Canis lupus familiaris: one gene and its partner. The protein of the gene in region 1 interacts with the protein of each later gene in a pairwise test. Links are inferred from orthologs where the notes say so. Each region holds a gene or a part of one and is shown in the gene's direction. Other genes may lie near its edges.

Region 1 (4,304 bases):
GAATGACTCATGAGGAAACCCTGCATCCTTGCACTCCCAGGACGAGGATGGCTCTGGCGCATCACAGTTTCCACGTCTTGGTGTTTCCCTCCGTCTCCTCGTGAGGAGAGCTGGGACTTCTCTGTCCTGGAAGGAGAAGCAACCAAGGATTTCGGAGAAAAAGCTTTGCAACCCCACGGGAAGACCCAATCACGCAGGTTGCGGGGAGCAAGGCTGCACACCCTCTTAAAACACGGCCGTCGGATAAAGTCCCTTTCTCCGGTTCCTTCCCTGCTTACCGTTCAGTCCCCGCAGGGTTCCGGGTTGCCCCCCCCCACCCCACCCCCCGGCCGCGCGGGGGTCGCTGCCCCCGCCCCTGCCCCACCCCCGCCCCCGTCCCCCGCGCCCCCGCCCCGGCCCCCCCGCCCCTGCCCCACTCCCCTGCCCCACCCCCGCCCCCGTCCCCCGCGCCCCCGCCCCGGCCCCCCCTGCCCCTGCTCCTTCCCCCACCTGACCCTGACCCTGCCCCACTCCCCTGCCCCCACCCCGGCCCCCCCGCCCCTGCCCCTGCCCTCCCGCCCCCTCCCCTGACCCTGTCCCCCCTGCCCTGCCCCCCCGCCCCTGCCCCCCGCCCCCTCCCCCTGCCCCCCTCCGCCCCTACCCCCCTCGCTCCCGCCCCCGCCCCCGCCCCGCCCCTCCCTTTCATCTTTTCCTCCCCTCCCAACTCAACGGAGTCGCACAGCGGAAGAGGGGAGGGTCTCCCCGCGGCCTGTTTGCAAGAAATGAGGCGTGGGAAGAGGGCGCGCTCTCCAAAAAACAAGGGCGGGGGGTTGGAAAACATCTTAACTCAAAATAAAGCACTTGCACCCCGGTCCGCTCCCAGCAGCCTCTCCCCGCCGGAGCCTGCACCCCTCCAGGGCCGGGAGCGCCCCCTCCCGTCGTCCCGTCGTCCCGTCGTCCCGTGGCCGGGGCGCGGCTGGCGGCGAGGCGTCCCGGTCCGATCCCACACGCAACCCCGCGAGCCGCCGCGAGGGCCCGAGCGCGCACGGAGCCGGAGCCGGAGCCGGAGCCGGAGCCGGAGCCCGAGCCCCGGACGTCAGCCCACCTCGCTTCGAGAGCCTTCGGCGGCGCCCGTGACCGCCGCGGGCCGGGCCGCCCGCCCCCGCGCCCGGGTGCAGCCGACCAATCGGTGCCCTCGGGGGGCGGGCCCGGCGGCGGAGGCCCCGCCCCCTCCCCGCCGCCGCCCATAAAGGCGGCGCCCGCGCCCCGCCGCGCAGAGCTGCGGCCCCGGCAGGCGGTGGACGATGCAAAGTGCCATGTTCCTGGCCGTCCAGCACGACTGCGGATCCATGGACAAGAGCTCGAGCAACAGCCCCAAGCACGAGGAGAAGCGGGAAAAGATGAAGCGGACCCTGTGAGTACGGCCCTCGGGCGCCCGCCCCGCGCTGCGCACCTGGCGCTCCGGGTTTGCTGCGAACGTGATGACGTTAGGAAACCCTGCGACCCGCGCCTCTGCAGGGAAAAGCAAAAATGTGGAAGAGGGCAATTAGCTAAGTAAGGTTCAATCTGTGTGCGTGAGCCAAGGACTCTCGGGTAGTTTAGGACTGAGAGCATGTTAGATAGGGAGGCGGTGGTGATGAGGAGGATGAGGAGGCTAAGACCTCGCAGGTTGGCTTTGTGGCCCCTGCGTCTAAGGTAGCAGCCGAGGATCCTGGGGCCGAAGCACATCCCCAGCACTGGTGCCTTGCATTATAAGTTCTGATCAGCTTGCACAGCTTCCGGATTGGAATATTTTGGCTGGTTCTGAACATACTCGTTTTAAAATCGCTTTTTTTTTTTTTGACTGAATTGCTTAATTCACCCACTAAAGATTGTGCAGCAAATCATCGTTATGCATCATCTGCTTAAAATGAGTGTTGTAGTTGGGCTGGGGCAGGGGAACTCAGTCTCTCTCTCTCTCTCTCTCTCTCTCTCTCTCGGACACACATACACCCCCTGCCTCATGGCTTCTGGAGTGGTCCAGAGCCTCTTGCTCTAAGGGTAGGAGGGAAATGAACACCCACTGGCTCCAAGCAGTTCCAGTGTTAGGTTTCTTCAAGTGTGAAATGTCTCAGAATTGTAATCAAGGCTGCAGAAAAACTGCGGTCTTTTGTGGGTCAGAAATTGCATCTGTCTTTTTGAAATATGCCATCTAAATTCATTTAAATGTCCTAGGTAGACTTACCCTTGGTTATGAGAGTAGTACTTCTGCTCAGATGAAGGGATGAAACTAATTGCGTTAAGCACGTAGGTGCTAGGTTTAAATGTAAAATGAGTAAGACTGACTTGAAGATTCTTGTTGCTACTGGGTGGCTTTATTTGGTAAAAATGCCTTCAGCTGCCACAGCAATTTCAAACGTTGTCACTTAGTGAATATCTTTTTTTTTTTTCTTTTTAAGATTAAAAGATTGGAAGACCCGTTTGAGCTACTTCTTACAAAATTCGTCGTCTCCTGGGAAGCCCAAAAATGGCAAGAAAAGCAAACAGCAAACCTTCATCAAGTAAGTTGAAAAATCTTGTATTTGCGAACATGAATAGCTAGCTGCTGAGCTGAAAAGAGGAATTCTGATGTGCACGAGCTAATGAGCAGACCTTCTTTTGCAGGCCTTCTCCTGAGGAAGCACAGCTGTGGTCAGAAGCGTTTGATGAGCTGCTAGCCAGTAAATGTAAGTTAACCTTTTGAATTTGATCCATTTCACAAGATATCACAAATATCACAAGAGTCCACAAAGGTGTTCACAACAGAAAAGCAGATTGCTCAAGGGGAATTCAAATTTGCAATCACTAAAGATCTAATGCCTATTTTTCTCCTTTATTTCCTGTTTAACCATAGAAATACATGGTTTCTTCACTGTAGATAGGGAAGGAAAAGTAGCCCAAATTGTAGGGGCAGTTGCTCTTCCTTAAGGTTGAATTGAATCAGCTTTTTCCATTGCATACAAGGTTTCCAGGAGGTTTGGAGCCCGGAGAATTTAGGTTCCCCTCTAAATATTTGCATTAAAAGCAAAGTTAAGTATATTTTGTAGCAGTGTGCCAGCTTATGCATTTTGCCTATTAGCATCTTAGTCTTTAAAAGGCTAAATTCTGAGGGTTACAAGTTTGAGTGAAATATAGAAAATTGCCATCATTTAGAAATAATAAAATATAGGGATGGGAGAATGGTAGTTCTGGAAAAATTTTAAGGCATTAATTGGTCACCCAATTTACATTCTGCATGTTTTTTCCCCCCTTTCTTCCTCCCCAGATGGTCTTGCTGCATTCAGGGCTTTTTTAAAATCTGAGTTTTGTGAAGAAAATATTGAGTTCTGGCTGGCCTGCGAAGACTTCAAAAAAACCAAGTCACCCCAAAAGCTGTCCTCCAAAGCAAGGAAAATATATACTGATTTCATAGAAAAAGAAGCACCTAAAGAGGTAAGGGGGGCAAAAAAAGAACTTCAATTCAGCATATTTTGAATATTCTTAGCACCAAAATGAAACAAAAAGACATTAAATTAAAGGGGGGAGGGACAAGATTGTTTCAAGAAACTAATTCTAGTTTTTAATTCGCTTAATTTCATTTCTTCAATGACTTGGCTAATGAAGCTCATCACACATTATAGTTTTTGCTGCTTGTTTTCAACGATTAAATAGGTATCAGTCCCTAGCTTTGAATATGGAATAAACCCCTTTTTTTTTATAATTTCAGATAAACATAGACTTTCAAACCAAAACTCTGATTGCCCAAAACATACAAGAAGCTACAAGTGGCTGCTTTACAACCGCCCAGAAAAGGGTCTACAGCTTGATGGAGAACAACTCTTATCCCCGTTTCTTGGAGTCAGAATTCTATCAGGACTTGTGTAAAAAGCCACAGATCGCCACAGAGCCCCATGCTACATGAGACGAAAAGGGGAGCCCAAGAGTGGAGGACATTTCATTTTGTTCCTAAGGGGAAAGGCTGCGACCTTCCAAAAAGACTGACCTTGAATTTAGCCTGGGTGTTCAGGAAACATCACTCAGAACTATTGATTCAGAGTTAGTGAATCAGGAAGCTGGTGACTGTGTAGGAGAAGCTTGTGTTGGGACGGCTCCCATAGCTCTGTCTAGAACCCAGGGAGAAGGTGGTCCAAATGTGGTGTGTCTCACTCACACTGGAAAGGCAGGAATGGGAGACCCAAAGGTCTGATGTGACACTGTTGGTCCAAACACATTTAAAATCAATAGGTCTGGGATTATGTGGCCTTAGCTAGCTGGCTGTATATCTTTCCCTAATTCAGTCCATTACCACATAGTGGTTTTAGTTTTAG
Region 2 (4,564 bases), on another chromosome or scaffold:
CACCAGTGACATTTCATTTGTTTCACCTCCATCTATTCATCTGGGCTTTTCCTGAGTGGCTGGGACTGGGTAGCCTTCGATCACACCAACTTCCAGAAGGGGGAGCATATTCCCTTTTGGTCCCTCAGATAAGCCAACTGGGCCCAGCTGTGTCTCCAACACCTCACTGTGCTCTTCTTAACACAAAGAGCAGGCCTCAGGCTCATAGCCTTCTGCCTTACCTACATGGCAGTGGCTGTAGTGTGGTGTCCACTGCACATTTATTTAGATAGTTCTGCCTGTTTATGACAGTTGATCCAGGTTTTCTATTTATCATGAGGATACTGTTTCCTTTTTATTTTTTAAAAGATTTCTAATTATGTATTTGAGAGAGAGAGAGCAGAATGAGACAGAACACAAACAGGGGGAGAGGGGACAGAGAGAGAGGAGAAGCAGGCTCCACCCCAGGACCCTGGGATCATGACCTGAGCCAAAGGCAGATGCTTAACCCAACTGAGCCACCCAGGCACCCTATAGTTTCCGTTTTAAATAAATCACACATATAATTCATGCTCCTTTAGAAAACACAAGGCAAAAAAATCATAGCACAAGCCTCACTTCCATACAGAAGTCATTACTGACCCACAAGTATACATAGATCTCCCTTTTTCTCTTCCCTATCCATTGTAAGTCCTCACAGCTCACTATATTTCTTTACAGTCTGCACTATAATTGGCAAAATACTTTTGTGTATATTTTTCATTTATCCAGTAAATATTTAATGTACCAGGCAAGAGAAGTGAGGGGAAAGCAGCCTAAGGTATCTGTCCTAAAGGGGCTCAAAGTCAGTGTTGATCTGATTTTGTCTCCCCTACCAGACCTCAAGTTCCAAGAGGGCTGGGGGCTTGTTGTCCTGTCTGCCTTTAGTGTTTCAGAATTTAGCACAAGCAATAGCCAGGCTGACTGAATATTTGCTGAAGGATTAACAAAACTAATGCCTGCCCTTCATTGCGCCTTGCCAAGCATACCAGGAGGGAGCCACCAGTTAGCAGTCAATGGGTGGCCATTCTGGGGGTGTGCATGCAAGGATCCATGTCCCGTTGGGCCCCTGGACCCCTGGTGGGGTCTGCAGGCTCTCCACTCTTGTTGACGTCTGTGATCTGGGGGATTGTGGACTGAGAAGGGGTTAGTTTGGAAGGCAGGCAAAAGAGCTGGGCAGGGCCGGGGAGAGGGCATAGGCCCCGGGATGCCCAGGTAGAGATGGGATGAAGATAGAAAAGGAGATGGAGAGAAAACGGACTGGTGGCCCGAGCCTTGTCCAACTGCCTTCAATTGTTAGGGGTTTGTTCCTTTGATAATGTGCTAAATACTGCCTGTAAATCCCTCCTCCTCAGAAAAACGCAGTTTCAGGACGCCTACTGATTGACCCTCTGCCACTGATCTTGAGAGCCCAACTAAGAACCCTTGGCATCATTGTCCGACGCTCCCATTTTACCAAAGTGGACATTGAGGCCCAGAGTGGGCAAAGGCCCTGGTCAAGGTCACGTCAGCACCAGACCGGCTGCAGGGGCTCTGAGGCTAAACCTGATGAGCCCAGGCTCGGTGGAGGTAGGGGATGCCCGGCGGCGAGGCGACCGGCTAGGCGGTGGGCGGGGCTCGCCGAGGCCCCGCCCCGCCTCCGGGCTGGGGGCGGGCCTTGCTCCAACCTGCGCCGCTCCAACATGGCTCCGCGGCTGTGCAGCATCTCTGCGGCGGCGCGGCGGCTGCTGGGGAGCCCGAAGCCCCGCGCCGGGGATGTCGCGGCTGCTGCGCGGTGAGAGCCGGGTCGGGGGCCGAGGAGTGGCGCGAGCGCGGGGGGCGCAGGGCCGGCGGCCACGGTCTGGGGCTGGGGGACCGGCGGACTCCCGCTTAGAATCTCTGGGTTGGAGGCGGGGCAAGATCTAGGCCTGGGGAGGGGCTCTCGGCGAAGAATGGGGGAGATGGGGAAAATATGCGCAGGGTCTTTGTCCTAGTAGGTACCTGGCTCTGGACGGAGAACGAAAGATGGGGTGAAGGGGAGGGGCTTGTCCTGCGCCCTGGAGAGTGGCAGAGGGCAGGAGTGGCCCCTTCTCTAGAAGGGATGATTGTGAAATAGTACCCGCTGGGGGCTTCTAGGAGAGGCAGCTCCTCCCTTCGGAAGTTCTGGGGGAAGAGGTACGGGGAGCAGTGCGGGACTCCTAAGGGCCATGGCTGCACAGACCCTTTGCTCCCCAATCCTGAACAGTACAAGTGGGGCAAAGGAGGCCTGGGAAGGGATGGGAGTTGCCCAAGGTCATTCCCTCTGGTGTCTCCATGTCTCCTGACAACCAGTGCTCTTTGCACCACAATTGGTGGCCTCCAGGGAGAAGGAGGCTGGCTTGGCCTTGCGCTCAGCCTGGGCTTTTGTTTGGGCCCCGCTCTGGAGTGAGGCAGGTCTTGGACTTCTTGACCCGGTCTGGGCACCCCCTCCCCCCTCCATCTCCAGGGTCCTGTACTTTCCCCATACCCTCACCCTCTAGACACATTTGCCTTTCTCCCCGACTGACTGACGTGTCATGTCATTTATCTGTTAATCCAGCCCCTACCACAGGGTTCAGGACAGTATACTCGAGAACGAATTACTAAAGAAGTGAAGACACTTCTCTCCCCACCTGTGGAAAGGAAGCAGCCCAGGCATGAAGCTGCAGAGTTCGGTTAGACCTTGCCATGGGATCCACTGTGGCTCTTGGCCATTGGGAAAGAGGAACCAGGCCTGTGCCCCTTCCCCAACTGCCCAATATTGGGGAGAACCCTCCTCTCACGGGAAGATCCTGGAGTTTGTCTGGGACCGGCAAATTTAACTCAGCCTTTCTCAATGGAGTGACCTTGGGCAAGTCATTTGGCCTCTTGAAGTCTCAGATTCCTCAGCTGTAAAATAGGATTGATAAAATAGTATGTATCTTATAAGAGTGGAGGGTTAAAAAAGACATGTCACGTATGTGAGGCTTCTAGCCCCTGGTGAACTTGCAACAGATGTTGCCCTTGTTCAAAAAGTTTCTGAATGAACCCCTTATAATATTAGGGCTCAAATGGCCTTGGGAAAATCATCTTTTTTTTTTTTTTAAGATTTTATTTATTTATTCACGAGAGACACACACATGCATAGGCAGAGACATAGGCAGAGGAAGAAGTAAGATTCCCTGCAAGGAGCGTGATGCGGGACTCGATCCCAGGACCCTGGGATCAGGACATGAGCCAAAGGCAGACACTCAGTGGCTGAGGCACCCATTCGTCCCTGGGAGATCATCTTCTGTGACCTCCTTGCTATCCAGATGAGGAAATTGAAGCTCGGGGTGGGACTTCACTTTCCCAGGGTAACAAAATCAGTAGAGGGAAAAGCCATTTGTGTGACAAATATGCAGAGGCCACAAAAGGAGCATGGAACAAACAGGCAACCTGATGCTCCTCACTCACTTGGATGAGGCGCTGAACCTCTGTGAACCTTGGTTTCCTTTTCTGTAATTGGGGATGATAAACCCTATGGCGGATTTTTGCAGGATTAATGTGAAGGCACTTGAATTAATACCAGTTCACTCAAGAACTGCTTCATAGTTACTTCTATTGTGGTCTCACTTTGGATACCTGCGAACATACCCTCCTGCTGACATTTAGCCTGTCCCATATCTCTCTGGAGTCCGTAGAGGGGTGGGCAGCAGCCTTTCTGTCCTCTTAGGTTTAGGGGCTGCTGGGGCGGAGACAGAGTGTGGGCTTTCAAGTCAGATGGATGTGGATTGCAATCATCTTGATCATTAATTAACCATCTGTGAGGGATCCCTGGGTGGCGCAGCGGTTTGGCGCCTGCCTTTGGCCCAGGGCGCGATCCTGGAGACCCGGGATCGAATCCCACATCAGGCTCCCGGTGCATGGAGCCTGCTTCTCTCTCTGCCTGTGTCTCTGCCGCGCTCTCTCTCTGTGACTATCATAAATAAAAAAAAAAAAAAAAAAAAAAAAAATTAAAACCATCTGTGAATAAGGCATGGAACACCTCTGAGCCTCATTTTTTCTCAAAAACATATTGTGAGGATTAGTTCTTAGCACATAGTAATTGCTCAATAAATAGTGGCTGTTATTGTTGCACCAGTAATCCTGTTAACAGGACTTTAGTTGTTTTATTTTTATTATTAGTAAGTAAGTTCTGCGCCCAGCATGGGGCTTGAACTCACTACCTTGAGATCAAGAATCACATGCTCTACCAACTGAGCCAGAGAGGCACTCCAGAACTTCAGCTATTTTAGTTCTCCTGGAAATCTAGAGAATCTAGAGAACATTCTGGAGTGGTTTCATGTTGGGGGCGTCAGACTGTTGATCCCTATCGAGAGTGCAAATGTGACATTTACTGAAAAGTTCTCATCCAGGACAAATAGTTGTTGAGCAACTCCCATGCCCAAAGCACTGTGCTATGTACCATGGGGGGATGGGAGGACATTAGCTAGTGACTTCCAGTGTGACTGGGGAGTCAAGACATGAAAATGATAAAAAGGCTGATGGGGAAATGTGAGACATGTTTTTGTGGAAGGGGCTAAACTGG

Evidence for each region.
Region 2: the proteins of RGS2 (region 1) and NIPSNAP1 interact in a two-hybrid assay, tested with the Homo sapiens proteins (2 studies listed by BioGRID and IntAct). The link is inferred for Canis lupus familiaris from reciprocal best matches to the Homo sapiens genes RGS2 and NIPSNAP1.

Annotation. Positions count from the first base shown.
Region 1 is NC_049259.1:6,818,082-6,822,385, reverse strand, and holds the start of RGS2 (regulator of G-protein signaling 2), read left to right. Parts: upstream 1-1,234; 5' UTR 1,235-1,283; coding exon 1,284-1,393; intron 1,394-2,417; coding exon 2,418-2,519; intron 2,520-2,622; coding exon 2,623-2,684; intron 2,685-3,262; coding exon 3,263-3,429; intron 3,430-3,703; coding exon 3,704-3,898; 3' UTR 3,899-4,304. Other genes in the region: protein SPT2 homolog, read right to left, coding at 1-126, 827-1,227. UniProt on the Homo sapiens protein: Regulates G protein-coupled receptor signaling cascades. Inhibits signal transduction by increasing the GTPase activity of G protein alpha subunits, thereby driving them into their inactive GDP-bound form.
Region 2 is NC_049247.1:23,203,640-23,208,203, reverse strand, and holds the start of NIPSNAP1 (protein NipSnap homolog 1), read left to right. Parts: upstream 1-1,653; 5' UTR 1,654-1,700; coding exon 1,701-1,792; intron 1,793-4,564.